3 linked regions of the Caenorhabditis elegans genome follow. The protein of the gene in region 1 purifies or fractionates together with the protein of each later gene. This does not show direct contact. Each region holds a gene or a part of one and is shown on either strand. Other genes may lie near its edges.

Region 1 (10,305 bases):
CCCAAAATAAATAAACAATTTCAATGAACATTAATTCCGATAATTTTCAAAATCACAAGCATGTTGGGTGTGTGTGTACTCTGCTCTGATAAACTCATTTTCATGTGAATTTTGAAAGAATTCGACCAGAGATCGCACACATTTATCAACAGAATTCACCACTTTTTGTATCAGACCATCTCATCGGAACATTTTTTTAAAGCGGAAATTAAAATGAAACACAAAAATTAAAATATTACCTCAGACAGTAAAAGACCCGTTGTTATACAATCTACAAGCCATTGACGTCCTACAATAACGCATTTTCGAGCAATTGCATAGAGATATGCTGTGGATTTTTGAGAAATTGAACGGCCTTCTGAAAATTAGTTAAAAATTATTTTGAACTAAAAATCGGTTTTAAATAGGTTTTTCTCGATGAAAAAATCCAACTTATTTTAAAATTTCGCGCGGAAAATCGAAAAACGAGAATTTTGTTTTTTCGAATTTCCGATATTTTGAGCACACTTAGATTTTTTTAATAGCTTAAAATTTTGGCAATTTTTTTTAATTTTTGGAAGAAAATGTACAAAATTTTATGAAACCGTTGTTTCTCTTTTTTGTAAATTTAATTTTCGGTTTTTCGAATATATCTGGGAAAAAAACCAAAAAATTGCATCATTTTAAAAATCTAAAATTCTCAATTTTTGGATTTTTTAAAAAGCGTTAAAAAAACCATTTTTCTGCAAAATGGTTCGATTTTTTATTCTGCCGTTTGCAAAAATTTGGTAAAATCATGGTTTTTTTTAAATTTTTTTCACAGATTATTTTTGAGAACAATATCTCTAAGAAAAAAGTCTTCCTCCAAATTTCACAGTTTTAACGAACCACTATTCATCATCACCAAATGAGTCGTGTGCTCATTCACATCCTCCGCAAATCGGCACGCATTTGACAAGAATTTGTGATAGAAATCGCTGAGAAGTTCCTGAAAAATAAGAAAATGTTTGAATTTCAAACATCCACCAGTCCCACTACTTCGTCCGCATCATTATGAATTCTCGAGCAAACAATTGTTTTTGGTACTTGTGACAACTCATCGTCGATTCGATCTTCGTCATCTTGAATTGCTTTCGGTGTACGGTCGGCGTCAAGGGTAGTTGACTGAAAAATAATTTTTATTTGGCTTTTTTTCAAAATTGGAATATTTTTGTTTTTGTTTTAATTATTATTTTTAGTTTTTCCGATATCTCCAATAATATTTCGATTTTTCTATCAGGTTGTCCCATAAGTTTTTGTACTATTTTTTTTTTGAAAAAAATTTATTTCTCTCAAGCGACAAGTAGTACTATTCACACAAGTATTCACCATTAGTGTCCACCACTTGTTGCCATTTACTAGGTAACATCATGATGCCACGGGAGAAGAAATCCGGCGAACGCGATGAGAAGAAAGTGGAGAGTTCAGTTTTGAGATGCTCTTCGTCGTCGAATTGCTTGTCGCGCATGTAGTCACTGAGAGACAAGAACAAATGGTAGTCGGTTGGTGCAAGATCTGGAGAATATGGTGGATGCGGTAAAACAGTCCAACCAAGATCTTGCAGCTTTTGGAAAGTCTTCTTGGCGACATGAGGCCTAGCATTATCGTGAAGAAAATATAGTTTTTCATATTTTCCGTTGGTCTTTTCTGCAACTCGGTCCAATTGGGCACAATAGTAATCAGCAGTGATAGTTTTATTAGTTGGCAACAATTCCCAGTGCACGGGTCCTTGAACACCCCACCAGACACAGATCATAATCTTTTTTGGGTGAAGATCAGGCTTTGGCGTCGGTATTCCTTTCTCACCGATCGGAAGCCATTGACGTTTTCTGGAATGGTTAACATAGAGCACCCACTTCTCATCTCCAGTAACCAGATTGTTCAGCCAATCGAACTTTCGACGAAAAGTTAGAAGTTGAGTACAAACGTTGACCCGAGTGAGCTTCTGTGATGCCGAAAGTTCATGAGGCACCCAAATTCCAAGTTTTGAAGTAAAACCAAGGCGACCCAAGTGACGTGCAATTGTGCTATGACAACACTCAAGCTTCTCTTCCATTTCACGAAGACTAAGACGAGGCTCTTCCTCCACCAGCTTCACTAGGTCTTCTTCATTTAACTCTACCGGTCGCCCAGAACGTTCTATTTCTTCGAGACTGAAGTCGCCGTTCTTGAACTTTTGAAACCAACTCTTTGCTGTATTATAAGAGAGTGCTCCCTCACCCATCGCACCGCATATGTTTCGTTCCGCTTCCATTGCTGAATGACCAAGACGAAATTCATAAAGAAGAAGCAATCTAACGTCTCGACGTTCAAGTTTGATGATTGTCATCGTGGCAAAGTAGAAATGGATGAAATGAATCTTTTCTGAAAGGGGACGACCCGACCTTGACACGACCTACGATGAAAAAATTTTAAAACTTTCTAGAAGTTTTGGAAAAATATTTGAAAAAAAGTACAAAAACTTATGGGACAACCTGATATTTAAAAAAAAATTGCTTAAAAATTTATTTTCAAATTTTTTCTTTAAAGTTATGCTCGAAATTATAACAAAAATGGAAATTTTGAATGAAAAAATATTTGCATTTTCTCAAAATTATGTTTTTTTTTCGGGTTCAGCACTTTTTTATAAAACAATTCAACTTTTTTTAAAATTAAAATTGAATTTTTCTGTTGAAAACCATATATTCCAGGGGTGTGCGGCAAATCGCAAAATTTGCCGAGCTCGGCAAATTCGGCAAATCTCTTTGTTCAATATTTGCCGAGCACGGCAAATTCGGCAAATTTGCCGAGCTCGGCTAATTCGGCAAATTCGGCAAATTTGCCGTGCTTAACAAACTCGGAAATTTTTGATATTTTTTGATGTTTTTGGACCACCAAAACTACCGAATTCTTAACACACATCTGGCTTCGGAATCAGTTCCGTGTAGTATGTCTGCTTAAGCATCAAAATAACTCAATTTTGTGTCATTTTACTGAATTTTTGGCGAAAAAATCAGTAGTTTTAGTCGAAATTGTACTGTCAAATTTTTGACGTGTGCGGCAAATTTCGAAATTTGCCGAGCTCGGCAAATTCGGCAAATCAACTTTTTTGAAATTTGCCGAGCTCGGCAAACGACAAATTCGGCAAATTTGCCGCACACCCCTGATATATTCTGCACACAATGATTTTCCTATATTTCTTACACTTGTAGCACAGGTAACATTTGCCAGATCATCTTCATCAATTTGTAGTTCTCCTTCAGAATCTTCTACAACTTCATCATCATCTGATGCTACGACCACTGGCTTTTTCACTGCAGTATTTAGATTCAAATCGATCAAATTTTGAGTACTTTTGAAAACTTCAGGCTTTTGGGCTAGTTTTTGGATTGGCTCAGGAGGAGTTTCCAGCGATTCAGAAGCTGTCATAATTTTTATGTTTTCAAGATCTTGAGAACTCGCAAAGGATACTCTTCGATTCGCTGGTTTCTCTGATTTTTTCGGTGGCGCCACATGGAATTTCTCCATTAGCTGATTGATATTCTGCAAAAAATATTTTATTTCAAAAATTATTTTCCTCTAAATAAGCCCGAATCATCACAAACATTTCGAAGAAATTGTCGCATCGTCGGCATTAATTGGAAAAGTGCATCGATTTCATCAATCTCTGTCGAATTTTCTGGAAAATTGGCAAAAATTAGCGAATTTTTTTTTGATTTTTGACCAACCTCGGAGGGTATTTATGTATTCTTCAATATCAACATTTTTCAGTTCTTCTCTTGATATTTTATACGTTTCTGTAGAGGTTTCCACGTCTTTTTTCAATTTTTCCAGCGGGAATACTCGACTTTGGAGCTCTACAGGTTGTTTTGTGGCTGGTTCTGGCGGTTCTACCGGTTCTGCAGGCTCCTCGGCGAATGCGCTCGGCGGTTGTGGTCGACTCGGTCGCTTTCGGCGCTGAAAATACAGATTTAATGTTAATAGAGTCAAAATAGCCCAAAAAGGCCGAATTTTTTAATGATAACTTCGAAAAACGGACTAAATTATGCAAAAACTCAAAATTTTTCAACTATTTAGCTAATTAGCAATTTGTATTGCATTTTTAATTTTTTTTCCCAAAAAAATACACTAGAAAATGTAACTATAGAGTCCAGTTTTCCAAACAAAAAAAAAGTAAAAAATATTTCTTTTCTGCTTTTTTCGTGTTTTTGACGAAATTTTTTCGCAGTCCGCTATGATTTTCAGTCAGAAATTAGCAAATCGATGAAAAAAGTGTGTAATAAAATTATTAAAAATTGATTTAATCGCTATACGACACAAAAAAAGGTGAAAAATGTTTTTATTTGACATTTTAGAAATATTTTTAGTGATTTTCTTTTGGTTTTAATTGGTTTTTTGTGCCAAAAAGCATACCACTGGCAAAAAAGGTATAGCAAAATCTGGAGCGCATCGTTTTCCATCATTCTCTGGAATAATCGTGATATCCAGCGGCATTTGACTTTCCATGAACATTTTCTCTGGCGGCAGTGACTTGAACGTATTCATATTCTCAATATCTTTTTTAAATGCTTCTGATAGCTTTAAATAGTTCTGCACAGCCATTGTAATTTGATAAGTATCTCGACAACTTCGCTTATCCAGTACACTTCTACAAATTGGGCATTGAACTTTTCGTTTTCGTTCGAAGCAAGCGTTAATGCAAGAACGACAGAAAATATGGAAACATGTGGACAGAATTGGATCTTTGTATGTTGAACAGCTGAAAAAAAACCAATTTAAGGTTTTTTTGTTGATTTTTTGAAAATAAATTACCAAATTCCACATTTCAGTTCTTTTTGCAGTCGTGCCACTGTTTCTGTGATCCTCAGTGCAACATCTGCCATCTGAAATTAAATTTTAAACAAATAACATTTCATTTTAATTGAAAAATCAATAAAGTAGGTTAAAATACAAAATATTTGATTTCAAAACTCCCGCGCTGAGGGGGCATCAGAGAACACTCATTGCAAACCTGCTCCACTGACAATCGGGGCGGAGTAAAGCGGAGAGGAGAGAGCGCCCCGCCTCCCCGCCGGTGCCTATATTTCAGTCGGTGCCCCCGGTCTTCGCCAGCATCCCCGCTTTTCCTCTCCCTTCTCTGATGACTCTCTTGTTTTTCCATATTCTATCAAGGAAATTCCCTTTGGAAATCCTGAGACTTCAAGCTACGGAGAATATTTTTTTTTAGAAAAAGAAAGAAAAAAAGAAGAAAGAGTGCGCGAAAACGATGCTGCTTTTTCGGTTTTCTATCTTTTTTTCTTCTTTTTCGGCTTTGAAAAAAAAAACATTTTCTGGATGGTAGCTCTTTTTGGGAAAGCTTTATGCAGTAGTTTTCAGTTAGTTTAGCTGCTAAATATCATTTTTGCAAGGTTCCGTTCAAACAAATTTTGCAAACACGAATTTTTCTTTTTATAATATTTTACTTTAATATTCTGCTTTTTAAAAAAATTTTAAAACCAAGATTAAAGATATATAATCTGCTTTTTTCCTCAAAATCTAGATGATAAAATTTTTAGAAAACTAATGTAGTTCAAAAAACTCCACATCTTCTCTTAACTCAAAAAAAAACAATTTTTATAAAAAGAGACATTTTTGCCGTTTGTCGCGATAACTTGCTTTATTAAAATGCCAAATGTGGTTTTTTAATAAAGTAATTAATTAATGTTATTGATTATTCAAATTTTGAGAAAAAAACATAATCAAGCCTTTAAAAATCATTAAAAAAGCAGAAAAAAAACACAAAACACACTATAAAAATTAATTTTTTAAAAAAATTTAATTGAGCAATTAGTGCAATTTTTCGTAACGGTGCTTGCGTACTGTGCACTTGATCCGACGACATCTACAGTACTAACTTTCTCATCTTATTTTTTTAAACGTTTCCACGTCAAATTTTCAACTTTCCCGGCGGTAATTTTCAGATTTTCATAATCAATTCTGACCAAAATACCAGCAAAACTCTGCACTCGAAGGTCAATTTTATTTATTTTCTCTCACTTTTTCCTCTCTCCGCCGTCCCCTTTCGTCCACCGTTTGACCCCATTGATCACACACAACCGTAGATTTGTTTTCTGATCGTTCTTCGAAATTCGTTTATCAGAGAACTGTTCAAACCGAATTTTAGGAGTAGTTTGAAATATAGAACGTGACTTTACTGGTAACAAATTGTGAGAAATCTAATAAATAGAAGAAAAAACGAAACGAAATTGTATTTCTCGCGTTGTGTTATTGAGTTTGTTTTCTCCAGTTTTCCTTTTTTTCTTTCTATTTTCTTTTCTTTTCCAAGTGTTTGTTCTTTGTCCTGCTCACGGTTTATGGTGCCATATTTCGCATGTTTTACCGCATTTTCTTATCATAAAGTGCCTCATTTTCAGGTTATTGCATCTCATCATGTCGGACGTTCGCGTCAAGTTCAACCTAGCCAACGATGGAGAAGGTCTCGACGAGGATGTAAGAATTTATTTCTTCGAAAGAATACTTTTAAAACCAATAGATTTCAGATTTTCCTCCCTCCAGCCCCACTCCTTGCCGGTGCTCACTGTGCTGGCCTTCAATCTTACCACGATTTGTACCGTTCCTCGATCAACGATGCTGACGAGTTCTGGCGTACCGTCTCATCTGAACTCCATTTCGAACAAGGAACCTCTAAGGGTCTCGAATGGAATTTCGACTCGAAAGCTGGAAATGTCTTCGTCAAGTTTATGGATGGAGCCAAGACTAACATCTCGTACAACTGTTTGGAAAGAAACATTAAACGTGGATATGGAAACAAAATCGCCTACATTTTCGAAGGAAACGAGCCAACCGACACCTCCACCTGGACATACAACGAGCTACACGCCCAAGTAGTCCAATTCTCCGCTGTTCTGAGATCTCATGGCGTCAAACGAGGCGATGTGGTTGCTTTATATCTTCCAATGATTCCCGAATTAGCAGTTGCAATGCTTGCGTGTGCCCGTATCGGAGCAATGCATTCTGTTGTTTTCGCTGGTTTCTCTGCCGAATCACTTGCCGCTCGTGTTGTCGACGCTCGCTGCAGAGTTTTGGTTACGGCGGACGGAGTTTTTCGAGGAGCTAAACCAATTGGGCTCAAGTCAATTGCGGATGCAGCTGCCGTTCTCGCATCGCAGGAAGATGTCAAAGTGGAAGCTATCATTATGGTGGAACACTTAAAACGAGTCACGAAGCCTGATGGAGTGGAACTTCCCAAGGTAACTAAATATAATAAATTTAATGCTCTAAAATGCTCAAAGTAGTCTCAAATTCAGAAAAACCAGAAAAAAATTAAGTTTTATTGATTTTTCATTTAAAATTACAACAAAAAACATTTTTCAGGTCGATTACACCGATATCACCGTCATCTACGATTCGGAGATGCTCAAGTGTGCAGGCGTGGATTCCCCGGTAGAATGGATGGATTCTGAAGATCCGCTATTTATTCTCTACACATCGTTAGTTCAGAATTAGAATTTACTTATTTCTCATTTAATTCAAATTGTTAATTTTCAGTGGCTCAACCGGAAAACCGAAAGGTATTCAACACACTACAGCTGGATACATGACGTACGCCTACGCAACCACAAAATACACTTTTGATGCACAAGAAGACGATGTTTACTGGTGTACTGCCGATTGTGGATGGATCACCGGACACTCGTACCTTCTTTATGGACCTTTGATGAATGGGCTCAAGGGAATTTGGTATGAAGGTGTGCCGACTTATCCGACTCCTTCTAGAATGTGGGATGTCACTGATAAGTATGGTGTGACCAAGCTGTATACCTCACCAACAGCCGCAAGAGCTCTTATGGCTCTCGGAAATCAGTGGCTTGAAAGGTAATAATTATTCAAAAATAATTGTTCAGCATCTTTATTTTTAATTTTCAGCTCTTCTCGCAAAACTCTCAAGGTTATCGGAACAGTTGGAGAGCCCATCAATCCTGCTGCATGGATGTGGTTGTACAAGCAAGTTGGACTTTCCAATGTATCCATTGTGGATACTTACTGGCAAACTGAAACTGGAGGACACATGATCACATGCCTTCCAGGAGCAACTCCAATGAAGCCAGGAGCAGCTGCAATGCCATTCTTCGGAGCATCTCCAGTTCTTTTGGATGCTGAAGGTCGTGTTATTGAAGGTCCGGGAGAAGGATCACTATGCTTTGATCGTGCCTGGCCTGGAATGATGCGTGGAATCTATGGAGATGAGCAACGCTTTGTCAAGACCTATTTGGCTCCATTCAATGGATACTATTTCACTGGAGATGGTGCCAGACGTGATGAAGATGGATACTTGTGGATAACTGGACGTGTTGATGATTTGATGAATGTCAGTGGTCATCTTCTGTCTACTGCTGAAATTGAATCAGCTCTTGTGGCTCATGAGAAAGTTGCTGAAGCTGCCGTTGTTGCTGCTCCACATGACATCAAGGGATCCTTCCCATACGCATTCGTCACTTTGAATGTTGGAGAGAGAATCAATGAAAAGCTTGTGGCTGAGCTCAAGAAACTAGTTCGCGAGAAAATTGGTGCATTGGCTGTTCCAGATGTTATCCAAGAAGCTCCAGGACTTCCAAAAACTCGTTCCGGCAAGGTTACCAGAAGAATCTTGAGAAAGATTGCTGAAGGATCCGAAAGTGGAATCGGTGATACTACTACTCTAGTCGACGAATCTGTCATCAAACAACTAATCTCTGGACGTTCTGCACGTGCATAAACGAACTTGAACAATTGTAAATCAATTCAATTCTTACTATTAATGTTACTTTTTCTGTATTACTTCTCTTTTCCCCCTCTATCGTTGTAATTTCTGCAGAATCAATGCAAGATCTAAACTTTTAACCCCAACATGACCTTCTTTGTAATCAAGATGCATTCCCTGATTGACTCCTGTGTAGAATTAAATTCCAGTGTTGTAATTTCCCCCAGTAATTTATTGAACCCTGAATTCGAAATTAGAAAACAAGTAAATGATTCAGAACTGATTAATTGTTTTAACTCAATTTCAGATTTTCAGATAACAATTTTGGCTTATTCGGATAATTAAAACACGAAACATGAAATTACAAGAAGAAGATTAAATACTTACATGGAGAAATGCATTTCATATGCCCAGTGAATCTGATGTTTAGCTCAATTTTTATGAATTATGATAAAAACCACGAAAGTTCAATACAAAATAATATTTGATTTAACTTGCATTGCAAAATTACAGGAAAATGAATTATTTTAAGCATAAAGTGTGTTGTTTTGATAGGCCGTTTGAACAAAGCAAATCGATTTTCTTGATTATATAATGATGCTTCAAAATAAAACTTGATTTACATGAATATTTCCCGTTAAAAAACAATGTATTTAAAAACATTATTATTTGCAGAATCTCTCCAACTGCGAAAGAAATCGAATTCAAACAACCGCGCTTGTCGTACACTTGTACACTCCGCCGCCACAGCTACGGTAAAAGCGTGTTTTGCGACGCACAAGTGTGCGCCGAGTGTGTGGGTCTCCCAACGCCTTTCACTGGCCTAAACTTCATTTCAATTTGTTTTAGCCTAAAATTTTCATGTTTTTTTCGAATAAATTTTGTTTTTTTACGTGCAATTCTAAATTTAAAATGTTCAAATTAGTATCTGTCTAGAAAAGTAGTTATTTAAAAAATTTTTTAACCGAAAACGCAATTTTTATTCTTTGTTCGCTCATGCTTTTTCTATAATTTTTTCGTAAAATTAATATTTTTCAGGGTACAACAATGTCTCACCGAAAGTTTTCGGCCCCGAGACATGGACACATGGGATTCACCCCAAAGAAGCGCTCCCGCACTTACCGTGGAAGAATCAAGGCTTTCCCAAAGGATGACAAGAGCAAGCCAATCCATTTGACCGCTTTCCTCGGATACAAGGCCGGTATGACCCATATCGTCCGTGATGTCGATAAGCCAGGATCAAAGGTTAACAAGAAGGAGGTTGTCGAAGCCGTCACCATCGTCGAGACCCCACCAATGGTTATTGCTGGAGTTACCGGATACGTCGACACCCCACAAGGACCACGTGCTCTTACCACCATCTGGGCCGAGCACTTGTCCGAGGAAGCTCGTCGTCGCTTCTACAGCAACTGGTTAGTTTATTTTTCAACTATTTCGTTTTTTGTATTCAGTGTTATGGTGCGTTTTTGGTGTCATTTGGTGGTTTCGTGATTACAAGTCTGTATTTGCAGTCGCGTTTCTAAGTCGGTTGCCTTCCGCTGTACTTATGTACATGATGGTAAACGAAC
Region 2 (9,327 bases), on another chromosome or scaffold:
CTGCACGCTTCAGCCGGTGCCAATGTACTGTAGCCACGTGGTTTTTATCTGGATTTTTGAGACTACAGTAACCACAGCTGAAAAAATGAAAAAATGATGATAATTGTATTTAAAACTTTCGAACTTACATGATTACTTTTACACACTCTAGAGAGTGTCGTGAATTTTGTACGGGTGTGTCGCTTATTTGTTCACATTTGGAGCATTTTGTTGGGTGGAAGTGAGCTTTTTTAATGTGACGATCCAGCTGAAATAAATTGTTTCAAAATTCAAAATAGACTCAAATTCAGAAATAACACAAAATAAAACGAAAAAAATGCATTGAGTTTGAAAAAATACAGTTGATTTTGGAGAATGTTCAATTTTTGTAAACCTCATTATTTGAATTTCCGCGTTTTTGTCTTGAAACTCCGCCCATTTTTCCGTGCCGCGTTTCGATTTTTTCAATTCCGGATTATTATTTGTATTTTTCCGTTTTTCTTGAAAGTTTGAAGTTCAAGAGAAACAATTTGGAATGCATGAAAACATTCAGTTTATTCTTAAAATACATAAATTTACCAAGAAACAAACATTCTCACAAAAGAATTCAACAAATGTGAAGATATTCATTTTTTGTGTAAAAAAAAGATGTGTTCGTTTAATACAAAAGCTTCTTTTACCTGAAGGTTTTGCATGAAAATTTTTTCTTATTGGGTACGGTAAAATTGGCGGATTTCGAGACAAAAGCACGAAAATTCAAATAACTATTTAGCCAAAATTGAAAATTCGCCAAAATCAAATGGCTTTTTTTGGTAATTTATCAATGCATTAAATTAATTTAATGCATTTTTTTTCGTTTTTCTGTTGTGGCTATTCGGAACGTAGGACTATCTTAGATTTTTAATGAACAAAATCCCAAATTTTAAGAAATTACCAACTTTAAGAAATTACCTGAACTCTTTGTCGAAAGTATGAATCACATGGTTTGCAGACAAATGCGAACTTTTTAAGACAAGAAGTCTCATGGGAAACCAAGTCTGCAGGCCGAGAAAAAGATGCTCCACACTCATCACAAACCTGAAAGTGTTTAAATATTTTTTGAAAAAAAAACCTGTAACTAACATTTGAGTATTTTCTACATTGCATATGATGTTTCCGTAAACCATCACTTCCTGCTTCTATTACTTCTTGGCATTGTTTACATTTGTGAAGTTCGTGATATGTCTGTAAAGTAGGTATTTTAAACTTGTTTCATCCGTGTTGAATAGAAGGTACCTGTCGATGAATTCTCATTTCATAAGTAGTCTTGAATAATTGCCCACATTTGTCACACGCTGTCCAGTCAACTTCTACTCCAGGAGCATTCGAATGCTTTCGAGAGACGTGGCGAGTTAAATGTGATTTTTGTACGAACTTCTCTTCACAAAATGTACATGAATAATTTCTGACATTAAGATGTGTCATTTGATGACGCTGAAGATGAGAAAGACGTGGAAATACCTGAAATTATTGGATATTTTATTGGATAACTTTTAATGAAGAATTATTTCCATACTTTATCACACATACTACATTTCAGTGGATCTGAAGCGCTTCTGTCATTCTTCGATTTCACAACATTTTTATGCATTCGTAATTCATGTTTTGTTAGATATCTGAAATTCATCATAGAAGATTAAAATATATTTTCAGGCTTTTCTTACCGTTTTAAATCAAACGTTTTCCCGCAGTCTTGACATTTGTGTCGTGCCATTGCCGGCTCAAATTAGATAAATTATTGAAAATACATCTTATTTATAAAACGAGATAAATCATTTAGTGCTTTCATGCTAACTTTCAGTAGAAGGTTTTAATAGAATTTACCCAAAATTTATTGATACAAGTATTATTAAAATTTGGAGGCAAAATAGAATCACGAGAATGAAAAATTGTGTCAGAGTACAGTCAATGCACAGTCAATTATACAGAAAAGGTAAAAATTTGAGGCGACCAATTCAGAAATCTTCATCATCCTCAAAATCGATATCAATAGCATTAACAGAGTTCTGAAGCTCGTCGAGCCCGGTGACTTCTTCGAGACGACCTGGCGAGTTCATAACGTCGCGAACAAACTTCCAGCCATTTTGCTGAAACTGTGCAGCGATAGCGTCTCCACAAGCAACACATTGATCGAATCGTTTTACAGAAGGAAGAATCTAAAATAAAATTAACGAAGTTAAAGCAAATAGAACACAATTATTATACCTGCTGGAATCTTCCCAGAAAACCGCGAATTTGATGTGGAGCAGCTCCAAGGACTGTTGTATTATCGTCGTGGCTGGCTGGTGTCTTGAGTGGATCAGGGTATTGTAAAACAGACGATAAGAGTTCAACGGCAATTCCAGATGCAATCATAGATGTTCCTGGTCGTGCAACCTGAAAGAAAGCATCCGTTTTGAAATAGAGGTGTGGAAGTTCAAAAACTCACAGTGCACTGTTGGTCCAATGTTCTATCGAAAGTAGAATTTCCTGGAGCAGTTACATCACTGCAGAAATAGCAAGAAAGCTGAGAGTATGGTACGGAATCTGATGATGAAACATCTGAAACACTTTCGCTTCTAGAACCAATTCCATGCCGAATGATGACGTAGGTATCGAATCCAATCGCGACACTAATTGCAATCTTCTTATGTCTACTAGCCAAAACTGTTGGAAGCCAGCGAGCTTCCCTTGAATCTAATGCTAGGAAAACAACATCATGATCTTTCACAAGTTGCTCCAATTTTGCAATATCTTTTTCCAGCTCTGGTACATCTTTTTCATCGATAGAATGTCCAGGCATTGGAACAGTGAGACGATGAGCAGTTGCTTGAATCGATGGGAAAATGCGTTGGATAGCAGCTTGTGCTGTTTCGGCTTTTCCACGACCCAGGCGTGCATCTTCAAATTCTGAGAGACTCTGGCGAACGGGGTTATTGTAGCTGACAGTTGAATTATCAAGAAACGAAATGTGACGAACTCCCCATCCGATAAGACAACGGGCAATGTTACATCCAAGCGTTCCAGCACCAAGAATGAGAACCTGGAATATGACAAAATATAAAATTTAAAATTTAAATATATACCTTCAGCTGTGAGTATCTTTCCAATTGAATATCTGGGTGCAATCTCCATTTGATTAATGATAAATTAAGATCCACAGATCTTTCCATTAATATTTTTGGATCGAACTCTTTACTTAAGTCTACTGAAATCGGCTGCAACTTATCATTTGCATTTCTTTCCCATCCCACAGCTTTTGGAACAGCATTCTGAGCTCCATCTGCTGAGCATTCAGCACTCGGCAAGGTCCATGTGTATTTTATTCCGATACTGTCAGCTGAACGAAGACTGATGATATGACAATGCTTCCACGTAGGATGAAGATGTGCCACTGCGGCAAGAACGTTGCGAACCATCCATCCTGCAGAATACGCAACAGGAGAAGGATCAGCGACAACAACACATATTTCGTCAGGATTTGTGTTGTTTTCCAATTCTGACAGTTCGAGCATTTTTGAAGATTGTTTGGAGTATAGGAAGATCGGAAAATTGTTTTTCCTATAAAAGTCGAACAGGATCTTGTGATCGGCTCCGAGAGATGATAGTGGTGTGATCTGAAACCGAAGAATTTACGAACTTCAAAGACTTTTAAAGATTTTTCAACCTCTTGTTTTATTTCACTAGGATATACCAAAGCAGGAACACATGTCCAATAATAATATTTGAATTTTTTCAAATCAGCAAAAGCGATGATGAAGAATTGCGACAGAAGACGAGGATTTTGGAGCCATTTTCGAGTTGTGATAGATTCCCAGATCTGAAATTGCTGACGATTTTGATTAACTATACGAAAGTTATTCTACCTTTTCTGCTTCACTTCTTATCAAATCACTTTTGTCAACCATCTTGAAACTTTCAATTGTATTGTACAGAAGAAGGGTACCGGACATTGACAATCCAGTTGTGCTCTCCAAACTGCTCAAACTGTCGTAACTTAAGGATAGATGACATTTAAAACCTTCGGTTTGATCTGTAATTTAAATTAAAAATCATCTGATACGGATATAGGCAATTCTTACGAAGCGATAATTGACTTGAGATACACTTTGGCGTCTCATCGAGTTTCCAATCATTGAGCTTTTTCTTGTTCACTTCGTTCCAAAAACCTGTATCAAGACAAGTAACAAAGGGAACAAACGTGGCCATCGATTCTGAAAGAAAAACAATGTCGAGAATAATAGACGCTCTTCAGTAATTTATTCAGGATTCTCAGACCGCCAGATGAAATAAACGAAGAACGAATGTGTGGTGGTTTGGAAGAAATCCTTTTTCAATTTCTCGAGAAAAATCAGAGGAAGGGAGGAGGGAGATTTGGAGACAAAATAGTTTAAAGGGGATGAGAGAGAATTGAGGGGATCAATCTACACCGTTCGATTTACTTTTGAATTATAAGGAAGAAATATAAAAGACCATATATATTTTACATCGCTTTGCTGACGACAGAAAATAATATGAAAGTGGGTATTTTTTGAAGGAGAATAATGTGTGGGGGAGAACAAAATCGATAAAAAGAGAACACAATTTATAGTACAAAAGAGGAATCGCCGGGGTTTGGTGTGGATTGAATAAGATGGAAAGGGTTTGGAGATGAATGGGAGACACAGAGAGGGAAAAGAAACACATGGTTTATTGATTGGTTTGGCTGCGTTCTTGTATGAATGGTGTTAGCCTCCTCACATAGCGTACTTTTGCGTCCATTCTCTCGCCAATTGATTGTACCTGAAAATCGATTATTTTTAGTAGTTAAAAGAAAATCTAAATTCACCTTTCACGATCCGTCTTGTAGATGCGTGCAATCTCTGGCACAAGTGGATCATCCGGATTTGGATCACAGAGCAGCGAGCAGATCGAAAGCAGAACTGAAAATTAAAAGTTAGAACGCGAACAATAATGATAATATCAACCTTTCGAAATGGTCAGAGCCGGCGACCACTGCGAACGGAGAATGTCAAGGCAGATGCTTCCGTTTGAATTGATGTTCGGATGATAAATTCGAGTGGTGAAGGCAACCTGAAGAAAACAAATTAAATTTATTTTTTTCCAATTTCGATCAATACCTTTGGTGGTTTGAATGGATAGTCTGTTGGGAAGTGGATAGTGAGGAAGAAGACACCTCCCTGATAGGGAGACTCTGGTGGGCCCATAATCGTAGCTTGCCAATGGAACAAATCATCACCAACTGGTCCAGCGGAGCATTGTGCGGGTGGATCACGGCCGAGATCTTGGAGTTCCTGAAACGTACATAATAATTTTATTGTTGTTAAGTGTTGAAACCTTACCTTCTGGATTCTTTTGAGAGCCATGTTGGTGTTCTGATTTGCTGATTGACCCGGCTACACCCGGAGTACTCTGAAAATAAATTTCGATAAATACGGTGAAATTGAGCTTCTGCTATAGGGAAAAATTGAAAGTGAGGATTTTCGCATGAAATAACATAAAGAGTACGGCGCGGCGCGGCGAAAAATCGATATTTAGAGGCGGTACAAAGTACTCAGTTTGCCCTTCGTGGTGAACTGTTACGTCACATTTCGAAACTAGTGGAACATTCTAGAAAGCGAAAAATGAGGAAAAATAGAACAGATATAAATTTGAAAACCAAAATAACATAAATTTCGGAAATTTCCTAATAAAATAACTAACGATGAGAAATGATGACAAATATGACACATTTTTACGGCTACAAGCCAGTGACACTCGAAAAAAATTTTAACGCTTAAAAGAAATGGACTGGAATATTACGCACAAAAAGCAAGCGATTCAAATCTTGTAAAATTTTCTTCACAATGAATCGAGACTGGGCAAAAATTAAAATTCAAGACGTATCACAAATTGTCTGGTTAGTTTTTTAAAAAACTATTCGGCATGTACGTATTATTTTCTGATTGAAACAAATGATTTCCAGATAATCACTCTGAAATCGACTAAAGACACGCGACTTGTCGCCTCACGAGATGGTGAGGAAGGAAGAAATGGCCATAGGCTGCGAGTGAGTGAGAATGTGTGCTGTCTGTGAGTGAAAATGAGCGACGGGGTGAGCGCTGAAGTGTCAGAACGACAGAGACAGAAATAACACAGGAAACGTAAGAGGGTACGAGGCAACGATCGATACGCAGCGCCATGGGTCTTGAGACGACCATCACACTCACTGCAATGCTGCAGTCGCATCGCAATGGGGATTGAAAGCGGAGAGAAGTGAAACTATAAGCACTTAGACACGAAACGCAGAGAGGTAGAGATATCTAATGACAAAGCGAGAGAGTGAGAGAAGCAGTTGATCATGTGATTCCACTGATTCAATTCAGTGTGGACGTGAGTGAACTTGCACTTTTCTGATGGTTACTAGATGACTGAAATTTGAACGCGGAATTTATAAAATTTTAGGACGAATGAACTTGAGTGTGTTTTCTTATTTCGTGCTATATGAGTCACGTGGGACAACGAAAACAAAGAGGTATAAAATAGGCCAAATCATACTTCGGAAGTGACTTTAATTTTGAGAAATAAGTTTTGCAAAAATGTTGTTCAAATTATTGATCGAGCACTAAATTCCCTAATCACTACTCACATGTGGAGTTGAAGTTATTTTTAAAATACGAATTCAGCGAGGAAAACCTTTAAAAAATTGGAAACAAGTACAACAGAACGAACTACAGAAGTTGGAGCAGGAAGAAAAATAAGGAACATCGCAAACGAACTGAAAAGAAACTGAAGAAATTAGAAGAAAATGAGTAAGAATGATGGACCGCCCTTGTTTCACAATCTGTATTTTGCCGCGTTCGAAATGGCGCCAAGAGATATGGAAAGCTCTTCCAATCAAAAAATATTTTTAAATGGCATACTGCTTGTCTATCCCATATTACGTTGAAGGTATTAATAAAAACAACAAAAATTTTTTAGAAAACATTAAAATAATCGAAAATTCACATTAAATTACGAGAAATTGTTGTGCAAACTTGAAAACAGTTGTTCGAAAACCCGCCGATTGTCAGGCTGCTGGATCTCGTGCTACCGTAGTCGGCACACCTGCACATCTATCTCGTCGTCTTTTTGTTCAATTGAATTCAACGCATTGAAATATTTCATTTTCATGAAATTAAATTTCATAAATTTGGTTTTGTTTTGTGATTTGTTTTTATTGTTTTTATTGTTCTTAAATTTAAGAAAAATTAACGTTCATCATCCGTACGAGACAATTTTCAGGGCTTCTCATTCCTCTAACAGTGATGGTTATTTCCTTGGGTGACGATATCACAACTGTCTTAAAGACGGTCCAACAAACGTTGTTTGCATTGCGAGATGAACACGAGGCTGCAACAAGGATATTGGAAGCTAATTTAATTAGTAAGACGATTTACGGAATGAGTACGAATAAAGTTTCTATCAGATTCAGACTCATCCGAACCTTCTTTGCCCAGTGAAAAGATGGGCTTGATTGATGAAAGTCTTGGGAAAGTTATGGATGGTGGTGATGAAGCATCTCTGCTCATCATGATGGACAAATTGATGCAATCATACGATGTTCAACTGTCAAAAAACCATGAAAGTATTAGGCTTCTGAGACAGGAAAACACCTGGCTTCTTGATGAATTGACAACCACACAGAGGAAGCTTCAAGAATCGGAGAGGACTGTCGCGCATTTGGAGGAAGAAAGGGATCACTACAAGTTTCAAGATTCCATGAATTACCTGAACAGTGATTTTGTAAGTCATTTATCTTGTGATTGGGATTAAATAACGCGTTTAGCAACACACTACCTCCGTCGATGCCACGCCCATGATGGTAGACACTCTACAGGAACTTGGATTCGGACCAGAGGAAGAGGATCAGAACAACAGTAAGTTTATTTGTTGTGCTACGAATTATGCTTGTTTTATCTTGCAGATCAAGCCGATCAGGGATGTCGCTCATCGTCTTTTTCCAATCCTATCAGTAACGATTACCAATTACCGACTCGCCTGCAAACGTTACAAAACCTGGTCATACAGTACATGGAGCAAGGTCGATTTGAAGTTGCGATACCGCTATGCAAGCAAGCTCTGGAAGACGTCGTGAAAGTTCACGGGAATGTTCATCTGGATGTTGCTACGATGCTCAATGTTCTGGCAATAGTTTACCGAAATCAAGAAAATTTCAAAGATGCTGCGATCTATTTGGAAAAAGCTTTATCCATTCGTGTACAATGTTGTGGAGAGAACCATCATTCTGTGGCGGCAACGCTAAACAACTTGGCAATCGCTTATGGAAAACGCGGAAAGTACAAGGAGTCTGAGCCTTTGTGCAAACGAGCTCTCGAAATTCGGAAAAATCTTCTAGGACCCAATCATCCGGATGTTGCTAAACAGCTCACAAACCTCGGAATTGTCACCCAACAGCTTGAAAAGTATGAAGAAACAGAAAACTATTTCAAACAAGCTCTGTCAATCTATAATCGTGCATTTCCGGAAAATCATCAAAATGTGATTAAGACAAAAAACCAACTGGCGTCTGTTTTCTTAAAGCAAGGAAAGTATCAAGAGGCTGAAGAGATGTACAAGAACATTCTCTCGAAAGTTGCTATCACCGGAAACAAACCAATATGGAGAATCGCTGAAGATCGCGAAGAAAGACAGCGAAATGGGATTCCGAAGGTTGACGATGAATCCTTTAATGTGAACCCGACAACTGTGATGGATAGGTTATTGCCTTTAATTAGTTTATTAATGATTACATTGTTATGTTTCAGCAATGTGATGTCAACTATAAAGAATTTGGCAGCAGTTTATCGTAAGCAAGGAAAAGAGGAAGCTGCAGGGACGCTGGAAGAAGCTTTAGGTGCGAAAAAACAAATCAACGGAGGAGCAGATCACACTAATTCTACTGCCTCAAGTGTTGAAACTTCAAGCGCCGTAGCTATTAATCCTGCTCAAAGTGGGATCAAAAAGAGAATCATGCATTTTGTCGGATTAAATTTCTGATTTCACATCTTTTCGTGATAATTTAGTTGCCGATCCCCTCTTTACGTTTTCCATGTCGCATACTCAAAGCCTTATTTTTGATATTTATGTATGGTAAATTAATTCGTATTAAATAATTGATGAGTTAAATATAGAGTTGTTTTTCATGGAGAGCTAATGGAACTGTACGCTTTGAATAAAGTATTGTCTTTAAAGTCCAATTCGTATTCTATGTGAAAAAGAAAAGTTCATTATTGTTTAAGAATTAGTTGAAAAAACAGCAAATCATGGATTTATTAGGAAAACCGGTGAGATTTCACCCCGAAAATTATT
Region 3 (10,525 bases), on another chromosome or scaffold:
TCTAGCTTAAATCTCCAATTTCGACAACTTTTCCGTTTCGAAAAGGAAATTAGAAATTGGCAAAATGGGGTATTTTAGCTAAAATTAAGTGTTTTTTTTAAATTTTGAAAAGACTTGTCAGGGGTTCAGAATTTTCGATTGTGAAATTGTACGCATCTTATGAATTTTGAAAAGTAAGTAAATTCTAAGAAAATATCTAGAGAAAACGGGTAATTTTATTTTTTAAAGGCACAGTTTTAAGTGTTGCCGTTTTATTAAATAAATAACTTCCGGCAAATTTCCGGAACTGAAAAATTCCGGCAAATCGGCAAACCGGCAACTTGCCGAATTTTTTGACAAAAAATTTGCCAAACGGCAATTGCTTTTTTCCGATATTTTTGGTCATTTTCCTCCATTAAATACTTCAAAAATCATACAGAACAACATCCATGTCTTCCACAAGCTGTTTTTCATTGTCATTCGAAACTTCTGCCTTAATTTCTTTGAGTAGAGTTCCAGCTTTTAATGCTTTATAAATTCGACAAGCTCTTCCAATTACAGGTGGCGGAATTCCTTCCTCTTTAGCAACCGACAGTGCGAACGAGCAATCAACCAAGCCAGGAGTCATACGGAAAAGGTATTTGATCTTGCCACCAGCTTCACGGAGAACTGTGAACGTCTAGGAATGAATATATATATTTCAGAGAATTATTTTAACAAATTTTTTCAAAGAAAAAAAAAACAGAAAACTCACCAAGAAAGTTGCAATGTTAGTTTCAAGAGGAATATAATTTGGAAGCGCGTGGAAATGTGACGATAGGAATATATGAGGGCATCGATCAGCTCCCCTATTCATCCAATAAGTCATGACAGATGCCAAAAGAGAAAGTCCAACTTCTGTCATTGTTCCTTTTCCAAACTCATCAATGATAACCAATGAGTTGCCAGTAGCTTTCCTCAATGCCAACGCAACTTGTTCTACGTCTTTTGCAAATGTAGACATCCCATCGAGAACTGAATCCACAGTAAACATTCTGGTAACAATTCGATCGACTATTCCTATTTTCGCATGTCTAGCTGGCACGAAACTTCCAATATGAGACAGAAAAACCATGATTCCAATTGATTTCATGTAGACACTCTTTCCACATGCATTTGGTCCTGTTATAATGCTTGCTTTAATTCCATCTCGACCACTACTAACTTGATTCGGTACGAAACTCTTCTTGACAACTAGAACACTAATCGGATGATATAGCTCGACGGCTTCAATCACGGGCTCATCTACAAGAGCAGGACAATTCCATCCGTTTTGTGCAGCAATTAGGCCGAACGAAATGAGCACATCGATTCTAGAAGCAATAGAGAGAAGTTTAATGATACTTCGCTTTTTCTTCATCACTCTTGTCTTCAAAGTGAGAATGATTGCAGTCTGGCTGTCGATTAATCTCATTAGAATATCTCCAAATTCGTCGTCTAATCTTGATGTTGTGGCATTTCTCACTCGTAAGTCTTCGTGTGTGGAGTATAGTAGAGTCATGCTGTGAAATTACAATATGATGAGAACCAGGGATGGGTGGCAATTGCTGTTCGGCAAATCGGCAAATTGCCGGAAATTTCCAATTCCGGCAATTTTCTGGTTTGCCGATTTGCCGGAAATTTTCATTTTCGGCAAATTTCCGATTTTTCATTTTTTTTTGCCAATTTCACAACCGTTTTTAATGGTTTTCATGTATAAATTATGTTTGAAAAGTGCATATGAAGATGAGTTTTGCCTATGAATTTATTATCATCAGTTTGGACAATTCCACCATTTTTCCGTTGTTTCCATTATTTTTTACGTCAAAACTAACCTACTTCAAAGTCCAATTTTACATGCACTTTTTTAGCACTATTTTTGCATAAAAACTAGAAAAACAATTGAAAAAAGGTCAAAAATGCTTGAAAATCGGATTTTCCGTTGATTCCTAACGAGACCCAACGTTTAGGGGTGGAGCGTGATTTCATTTTGATTTGAATTGCTTACTCAGGCTGTGATTCCACACCGTAATCTCTTGGAACTGAAAGAACAAATCCGACGAGTGGTATGTAGACACACGCCACATTAGAGTACGGTGGTAGACCAAGTCGAGCTTCTTCCTGTTTAGCAATTGCAGTGAGCACCATTGGCATGTTCTCATATGTGTCGCGTACTGAAGAAATAATAAAATAAGGGCTTGAAAACAATTAAAAAAAATACTTTCATCCAATTCTTCATCGATTCCATTCATCACTGTCACTCTTCCTTGAATCTTCGACTCTGCGAAGTTGATCTGAAATTTTTGAAGTTTGATTTAAATCTTATTCCTGGTCTCGGCACGGCAAAGTTTTGATAAATGTGGTTCGACTACTGTAATCGCAAACTTTTTTTGCTCTGGAATTTTCATCGATTTTTCACAGTTTTCCGATTAAAAAACTTCAACGAAAGAGTTAAAACACGAGATTGTTAACGAAAATGCCAGCGACAACAAAGTTTGAAAGTACAGTACTCTTCTCTTGTCGTGTCGAGACCAGGTACCGTATTTTAGAAAACACTTGGCAACATACAATGGAGCCCGCGATGACTGCAATTTCAGAGACTTCTCGGAGAAGATCTGATTCTACAGGAAACTCCTTCGAAATCTGAATAAAAATTATTTGAAACCTCGCTTTTTTATAAAAATTAATTATTTGAATTTACCGGTGTCTGCCTGATAATATTCAAGATTTCAACAAGCGCGTTGACTGTCGATACGAAGCACTCCCAATGAATGAGCTGAGCTGTTCCACTTTGAAATTTTTGGAATACACTCTGAAATCGGCCAAAAATGAATTAAATTAAACTTGATTGCTATTTAATACGTTCAGAGCCTTCACTCTTCCAAGAATTGATGATAACTTAGCGGTCACTTCGGCGTTCCAGTCCTAAATTTGAGAAAAAAATGTATATATTTGACGAAAAGATAATTTATTAAAGGTGGAGTACCGAAATACAAAAAATATTTTTTTAAATGACTTTAAATTTTCTCATAATTCCGAATATCTAAGTGAAAAAATTCAAAAAAAATTTCCCTGATTTTATATTTCAGCTTGAAATCGCGATTTTCATTTGCGTCCCCATGAGACTTTTCAAACGCCGAACTTTCGTGCCTGAGACGCCCCACATGTCGATTTACGAGATTTTTAAACTTTATCGGATACTGATTTCCGTTTTTCAACGAGTTTCCTTCATTTTCGTCGGTTTTTGCCAGGTTTTTTTTGAAAATGCGTTTTTTAGGGTTAATTAAACATTATATCAACAAAAATCTATCAAAATTTCTTTTCCCGACAGAAAATCGAAACTTTTGTAGTTTTTCGATAATATAATGTTTAATTTACCTTAAAAACACATTTTCTTTTAAAAAAAAACCTGGCAAAACCGACGAAAATGAAAGAAACTCGTTGAAAAATGAAAATCAGCATCTGATAAAGATTGAAAATCTCGTAAATATACACAAATCTCGTAAATCGACACATGCCGTCTCTGGCGCGAAAATTCTGCGTTTGAAAATCGCGATTTCAAGCTGAAATATAAAATCAGGGATCTCTTTTTTAAAAATATTTTTTCACTTAGATATTCGGAATCAGGGGAAAATTTGGAGTGATTTAAAAATATTTCCCATAGATTTCGGTACTCCACTTTAAAGATTATCACCTGTTTGAAGTAGTGCACACATTTTTGTCTTGACACAAGATCATCTCTATCCGTAGTCGGATTTCTAAACCATTTTCGAAGGCACTTTTTTCCAACGGTTGATCTACATTTATCCATCAACTGATAAAGTGATCTACCTTGTCCGAAAGTCTTCTTATTCTCGGTTTCCTTTGGCAGAATATCCAGCGCCTGAATTGTGTTGAAATCGATTTCTACCAGGTTTCCTCTGAAAAAGAAGAAAATGATTTTTTTTGTTTCAAAGGGAAATAAAAAACAAAAAATAGTAAAATTACAATGTAAATGTCTTGATAGATTTGATAGGTGAAGTGACTGACAAAGGATCGTCTGTCACGCCCATCCTAGTTTCATCGAGGAAAAGAAGAAGTGCTCCAAATGATCTTATCTGAAGATGGAAAATAATTTTTTTTTTGGCTCAGAGATCTGCTAACCATATTAACAGCTTCAATATCAAATCTCATCTTGATGATAATGTACTTGTCCTCTTCCGTCATCGAACTGTCATGGGACCCGGCCATCGCCTTTAATCTTTCTATAGCTCGCGACATTCCTGCAAATTTATTTTTAAAATCAAAAATGTTTGGAGATTATTAAGCAACTGAAAAAGTTGTTCGGGAGCTTATTAAGCTTCGCCGGTAATCCTTCGTCATCATCATCTTCGTCTTCTTCTTTTTCTTCTTTTTCCGCCGTTGTCTCGTCAGTAGAATAAGCTAGCGAAGAATCCCATGTCGGAACCGTATCCTCTGATGTTCCTTCTTCTGTAGTCCCGTCTTCATAGATTTTTTCCTGTGGATCATCTGAAAAAAATTTTAAAAAAATCTTTTTTTTTCAATTTTTATAATGATTTTCATACACCGCGTGGTCAAAAATTTGATAAATTCGAGATCCTGGCTTCTATTTGCGATTATTAGCGTCGGCTTCACATCGTCTATCACTGAAAAAAATGAGTTGAATTTCAAGCTTTTTGGATTTAAAACTGACATCTCTTCAAGAATCTAAATTCAAGATCTTCTGAAATATCGTTCATGATCTTCAACAACTGGCTTGATTGCTCGTAGTAGGCAGCTCCGAGCATTCCTTGAGCAAAAGAAAGACTGAGCACCGTTTCATCCCGAAATTGCTCCGGATCCATCGGCATGTCTGCAATTTTAATAAATTATTTAAAGAAAATAGGAATAATCTAGAGTTAACCTTTGAAATAAGCGCCATCCTGAGCTCCCTTGTGAAAATTATCATCACGGGGTAAGGCGACGGCGGTCAAGCTTGTACCGCGACCTCGGCCTCTGCCTCGACCGCGGAATCCATTCCCGCGTTTTGAATTGTAATATCTCCATCGAGTGGACATTTGAACCAAAATTTCATAAAATTATTTCTGATTTAAGAAAAGGTTGCTGAAAAACTAAAAATTGAAATATTTTCGGTTTTTTTCGGTTCTTGTAAAGTAATTTTAAACGTTTTAAACATTTTAAACTTCAAAAAGTTGATTGAACACCATAAAAAGTAACTATAAACAAGACTTGAAAATAGAAATTCCGAAAATTTTACTAAAAACTGAAATTTTCGTGTTTTCTGCTACGAAACTGAATTTTTAGGTACGTTTTATTAAATTAAATCAAGTTTTTAGCATTTAAACTAACCAAAAACTCGTAAAATTTATTTTCAAACGAGGAAAATTGTTTTGGAAATGCAATTTAAATTAAATTCTCGACACCGCCCGTTTTTCTTACCGTAACTACAAGGCGCATACCGATTTCGGTTCATCGGGTCCCGCAACGATCACTACAGTAATTCAATTATTTTCTTTAATTTAATTTAATTTAATTAAATAAATAAATATTTGTTATTTCTCGAATTAAAGCTGGATTTTCAGTCGAAATTGTTGTTTTTTTCACGAAATAAAAAGTGGATAATTCTATTTTTATCAAAATTTCTTTCGAAACTCCCCAAATTAAGGTGATTTCCAGCGAAAATAATTAACTTTTTCGAATTTTTCTAATATTTAATTGTTCCCTCTTCCATCAGTCACCTCTTTTGCTAGTAATCCCGGTCAAAGCCAATATTTGTTCATTTTTCTTTTCTCCCTCTCTTTTCTCCGCTCACAGGGCCGAGAAACTGGACAACGTAGACAATTTGCAGTGCATTCGGCCGCGCTCATTCGCTTATTCTGCGTGTAATTTCTCTAAAATAACGGTTTGTCGTGTCTTAAAGCTACATAAAAATCCAATTTTTTCCATTTTTCAGGGTGAAAATGAGCCGGATACTGCTCCTGCTTGCTGTATTAATTGGTGCCACGTCACAAAAAGAAGTCACCATCAAAAACGAAAAATGCAGGACGTGTAATTTTCTAGTGAGCACATTTGATGAGGTTTGTGCTCTATTTTTATATTTAAATGAATTTAAAAATATAAAATAAAAAGAAATTCCGAATTTCAGGGTCTCAAAAAAACGGCTCGCCATCATTTTGCCGGTGGAGACACAGCTTGGGAAGAGAAAAATCTGGGAAAGTACAAAACTAGGTTGGTTTCTCGAAATTTGGCGCTGGAAATATTTTAAATTAAAAAAAAAATCAAAATTTTCAGTGAAACCCGGCTAATCGAAGTTCTCGAAGGTGTTTGCAAGAAATCGTCGCTCCCAAATATGGACAATTTTATGGGAATCGCAGAAATCGAGTTTAAAGTATTCAAAAAATTAAATTTTTAATAAAAACCCTGTAATTTCTATATTTTCAGTGCTCTACTCAACTTGAAAAGCATGAAGAAACAATTGAAGAGTTCTACTACAACCAGCAACACAATAATATGTCAAATTGGCTCTGTGTTGAGCAGTTAAAATGTAAAAATTTCTTAAATTTGACTATAAAAACGTATGAAAATCGAAAGAAAACGCATTTTCCATTGAAAATTCGCGAATTTCGGCCTCAAAAATTGAATTTTTCGCTATTTTCTAAATGAAAATCGCGAATAAAACGAACATTTTAAAAACTAGATTCTTCACAATATACCCCGAAAAATCAATAAAAAATTGAATTTCCAGTCTGAAATTTTTCGAGAGCCTAATTTTCAATAAAAACCGAATTTTCAAGCAAAAAAATCGCAAAATTCAACAAATTTCCGCCAGAAAACTTAAAAATGTTATTATTCCCGTTGAAAATCGCCAAAGATTTGCAAATTTCATACTAAAAATTGAGTTTTTTTTCTATTTTTACTGTGAAAAGCGCGAAAATTTTGTAGTTTTATTAGAAAAAATACGATTTTTCACAATTTTCTGATTAAAAATAGCTAGAAATTAATATTTTTCGATTTACTAGAAATTTGTGATTGAAAATTGAAATTCTTTAAGCGAAAATTAATGCAAAAAAATTAATTTTCGGATTTAATTTTAAAAAACCGTAATTATATTTTTTCGCGGCGAGACCCATCTAAACAATAACGTGCGCCTTTAAGCAATATTTTATAATATTTTCCAAACTTTTAATAGCAAAAAATAAATAAAAAAATTTCAGTGTGCTGCCCTGATGGACACTTTGGTAAAAACTGCGAACAATGTCCTGGATTAAGTGAAAAAGCTGATGTCTGTTTTGGAAAAGGATCCTGTCATGTTAGTCAATTTTCTTTAAAATCTTGAAAAATTGAGAATTAATTTTTCCCTTTAAAAAAACCAACAAAAATCCAATTTTCAGGGAGATGGAAGCCGCGAAGGCAGTGGAAAGTGTAAATGTGAGACTGGATATACTGGAAATCTATGCCGATACTGTGATATCGAGTATTTCGAAGAATCTCGGACAGTGCAGGGTGTCGTTTGTAAAAGTTTGTTTTTTTTTTTTTAATTTTTGAAATCGAAAAAATAAATAATTGAAAAAATTCAGAATGCCACGAGGGCTGCCTTGGAGTTTGCTCATCGGAGAGCTCAAAAGGATGCTCAAAATGTAAAAATGGGTGGAAATTGACAGAAGAAGGGTGCGCAGGTATGAGAAAAGTTGGAAAAAAAAATTGAATTTTCATTTAATATTCTTGAAAAAAAGAAAAGTTTTTGAAAAATCTCCATTTTTCGTGTTTTTCTATCTAATCAAAAAATTGTGAAAAAAAACTGGGACTGAGAGCACAAATTTCGCGATTTTTCCCCATTTCTGCTTGGAAAAAGTGAAAAAATTTCGTGATTTTTCCGATAAAAAGCTCTGAATTTTGAAGTTTTCACCTGGAAAATTCACAAAAGCATAGATTTTTCGTGTCATTTTCAAAAAAAAGTAAAATCTGGTTTATAGAGAAAAATTAACATTTTCCAGACCAGATTTTTGCTGAAAAACATTTTATTTGAAAAATTAAAATTTGCAGAATTGCCGAAACACTATGCAAAAATCTATAAAATTCAATGCGAATTTCAATTTTTTTTTTTTAGAATTCTAAATTTTTGAACCGCCATCTTAACTTTTAATTAATCAAAAATCCTTATTTCAGACGTCAACGAATGCCAAAACGAGTCCGCATGCACAAAAGAGCACGAAATTTGTGTGAACACTGTCGGATCGTTCAAGTGTGAATGTAAGGAAGGATATAAGAAGGATGATGAGCAAAATTGTCAATTTGACGTCGAAGGTTCGTTTTTTTTTTCTTCAATTTGAATGTGGTATTAACAAAGCATGATCTGGTTTACTTCTGGATAATCTAATTTAAATTTCAGTTTTCAAAAAAAAATCGAAAAATTGCATTAAAAACAAAAATTTCCAAAAAAAAGGGACGAGCTTTTCTGAAAAATCATGGTTCAAAAAATATATTGCGAGAACATAAAAAATGCGTATTACACAACATATTTGACGCGCAAAATATCTTGTAACGAAAACTACTGTAATTGACTACTGTAGCGTTTGTGTCGATTTACGGGCTCGATTTTCGGGAAAAAAGTGACAGCAATATTCAAATTGTAATTTTTGTGATTTTTTCAAAAATGTTCAATATTTTTGATCGATTAATAAATGATTTCCGTAAATCGACATAAGCGCTACAGTAGTCATCTTACTGTAGTTTTCTGCTGCGAGATATTTTGCGCGTCAAATATGCTGTGCAATACGCATTCTCAGAGTTTTGTGCACCAGGAATATAACGTCCTCTTCACAAAACCCCACACACAGAACGGTTTTTACTACGTGGCCGTGATATAAGAAAACTCGGCCACCCTCATAAAAAGAGTTAGGGCCATTCAAAACCGTTGTGGGGAAGCTTCAGCTGGAGCTCCAAAAATATCTAACGTGAAAAATTCAAGATAAATCGCTGGCCAAGTTTTTACTTTTTCTAGGCCACGTAGGAAAAAGCGTAGGAAAAAGCGCTCAAGTTTCCTAGATCGGATGGAGATTTCTACGATTCTGTAGAGAGATTGAAAGCGTTATATAAGTAAACCTAACAAAGTCTGAAGCTTCTGCATGTTCCCTAGGGGCTCCTTCACCCAGTTCCAATTTCCTCTATTCACCATGGTTCAGCATCTCCTGATCGCCCGTTCATGCCAATCGACCAGCAACTCAAATTGATTGCCTTCTCCTCTCTCATCATCATCATCACTTTCGTCGTTTGGCACGGATCCCCAGTGCTCTATGTTTTAACGGGAATCACCATCGTCGCCCTGATTCTTGTCGATCTTTATGTTAATCCTGACACAATTCCCGACGAGGCCAAGCGATTTTTAGGATATTGAACAATTTTTAAAATTTTTTTTATTGGTTTTATACGGTTATTAAACAGTTAACAGCGCTTGCTCAGAAATTCATCAATAAAATGTAGAATATTTTCATTTTTTCAAAATTTGCAGCCTTGAAAGCAACGGAACAGCAAGCTCATGAAGATGAGGATGGAGACGATGACGATGAGAAGGATGAATTATAGCCTATATTAATTTTAACATTTTTTATTTATTGTTGCTATATATATGCATTTTTTGATTGCTTTCAATCCCGATCTGTCTGTGATTTTTCTCTTGTTTTCTATGTGCAATATATATATATATATATATCACATTTTTCAAATAACATGGTAGATTTATGCCGAACTTTAAAAAAAATGAGAAGAACTGCTAGAAGAAAGAGATCGTGAAATGTGTGAACGAACTGAGAGATCATACGGCGAAAAACACGCCAATCGATAGAAAACGTGGCGATGTACGTGGCGCGCGGTGGAGCAGCAATAGATCAAATGTAGTCGGGTGGCGGGATTTCGTTGCGAAAGTCAGCTGAAAGTTTCCGGATTCGTGACATCTTTGGTACGAAGACACATCCCATTGGCGAGAAGAAACAGTTTCGTGTGTTGCTCAATGACATTTGTCCCGGACGTGGCCTGGAAATTGTTTTGGGGTTTTTAGGTTAAAGAGTGGAAGAGAAAAAGCTAGGCCAGCATTTTATTTTGTAGATTTACGAGCAATTTCGCAATATTATAAATAGTTTTTTTTTTCGTCAAAATGTGCTGCTTTTTGTATTTTTTCGCAAAAGAAATTGTAGACTTTTCCTCGAGGAGTACACGAACTGCGTAAATCGACACATTTTCATTCTTCAAAGTTCCGCAACATTGCAAGTGACCCCTCACACTCAAGAATGTGGGCGAGAATTGGAAATGTGAGCTTTCCAAAAACGAGTTCAAACTTTTCAAAAAAAAAAGGTTCAGACACATTTCCGGTGGACGTGTTCAATGGAAAAATGTATTTTAAAGAAACACTTCATTTCTTGGAAAATCTAAAATTTTCAAACTTGGGGAAAACTAAACTCTCAGATTGGCATTTCCTGGGGGCTATGTTTGTTGGATTCCGGCTTATGCTTAGTTTTAGGCCCGGGCTCAGGCT

The links.
Region 2: the proteins of brc-1 (region 1) and let-70 purify together in Caenorhabditis elegans (co-purification; one study listed by BioGRID). This does not show direct contact.
Region 3: the proteins of brc-1 (region 1) and msh-5 purify together in Caenorhabditis elegans (affinity purification with western blotting; one study listed by BioGRID). This does not show direct contact.

The regions. Positions count from the first base shown.
Region 1 is NC_003281.10:3,858,079-3,868,383, forward strand, and holds the start of brc-1 (Breast cancer type 1 susceptibility protein homolog), read right to left. Parts: upstream 4,881-10,305; coding exon 4,810-4,880; intron 4,757-4,809; coding exon 4,411-4,756; intron 3,955-4,410; coding exon 3,726-3,954; intron 3,677-3,725; coding exon 3,603-3,676; intron 3,541-3,602; coding exon 3,202-3,540; intron 1,144-3,201; coding exon 1,015-1,143; intron 968-1,014; coding exon 868-967; intron 359-867; coding exon 240-358; intron 1-239. Other genes in the region: acs-19 (Acetyl-coenzyme A synthetase), read left to right, coding at 6,427-6,486, 6,537-7,247, 7,372-7,487, 7,546-7,872, 7,924-8,752; rpl-3 (Large ribosomal subunit protein uL3), read left to right, coding at 9,785-10,149. UniProt on the Caenorhabditis elegans protein: E3 ubiquitin-protein ligase that specifically mediates the formation of polyubiquitin chains and plays a central role in DNA repair.
Region 2 is NC_003282.8:11,076,845-11,086,171, forward strand, and holds let-70 (Ubiquitin-conjugating enzyme E2 2), read right to left. Parts: upstream 5,410-9,327; 5' UTR 5,364-5,409; coding exon 5,340-5,363; intron 5,292-5,339; coding exon 5,118-5,291; intron 5,071-5,117; coding exon 4,965-5,070; intron 4,920-4,964; coding exon 4,826-4,919; intron 4,780-4,825; coding exon 4,734-4,779; 3' UTR 4,242-4,733; downstream 1-4,241. Other genes in the region: Y5F2A.4 (C2H2-type domain-containing protein), read right to left, coding at 1-77, 129-247, 931-1,056, 1,102-1,203, 1,255-1,479, 1,535-1,634, 1,683-1,732; atg-7 (Ubiquitin-like modifier-activating enzyme ATG7), read right to left, coding at 1,974-2,174, 2,224-2,394, 2,447-3,040, 3,084-3,614, 3,665-3,817, 3,864-4,030, 4,080-4,206; klc-1 (Kinesin light chain), read left to right, coding at 6,891-6,927, 7,261-7,401, 7,445-7,761, 7,805-7,895, 7,943-8,735, 8,784-9,015. UniProt on the Caenorhabditis elegans protein: Catalyzes the covalent attachment of ubiquitin to other proteins. Mediates the selective degradation of short-lived and abnormal proteins. Plays a role in the DNA damage response.
Region 3 is NC_003282.8:13,149,762-13,160,286, reverse strand, and holds the start of msh-5 (MutS protein homolog 5), read right to left. Parts: upstream 5,055-10,525; coding exon 4,901-5,054; intron 4,850-4,900; coding exon 4,691-4,849; intron 4,644-4,690; coding exon 4,563-4,643; intron 4,507-4,562; coding exon 4,309-4,506; intron 4,260-4,308; coding exon 4,141-4,259; intron 4,095-4,140; coding exon 3,985-4,094; intron 3,918-3,984; coding exon 3,692-3,917; intron 2,923-3,691; coding exon 2,860-2,922; intron 2,810-2,859; coding exon 2,699-2,809; intron 2,641-2,698; coding exon 2,566-2,640; intron 2,292-2,565; coding exon 2,219-2,291; intron 2,172-2,218; coding exon 2,006-2,171; intron 1,521-2,005; coding exon 734-1,520; intron 659-733; coding exon 417-658; intron 1-416. Other genes in the region: Protein disulfide isomerase crld-1, read left to right, coding at 5,958-6,074, 6,143-6,225, 6,289-6,385, 6,439-6,541, 7,212-7,306, 7,389-7,515, 7,575-7,673, 8,164-8,301 and 1 more; nlp-79 (Neuropeptide-Like Protein), read right to left, coding at 9,882-10,026. UniProt on the Caenorhabditis elegans protein: Crucial component in meiotic recombination, functioning at some point after the initiation step of recombination. Plays a role in promoting the crossover outcome of meiotic recombination events.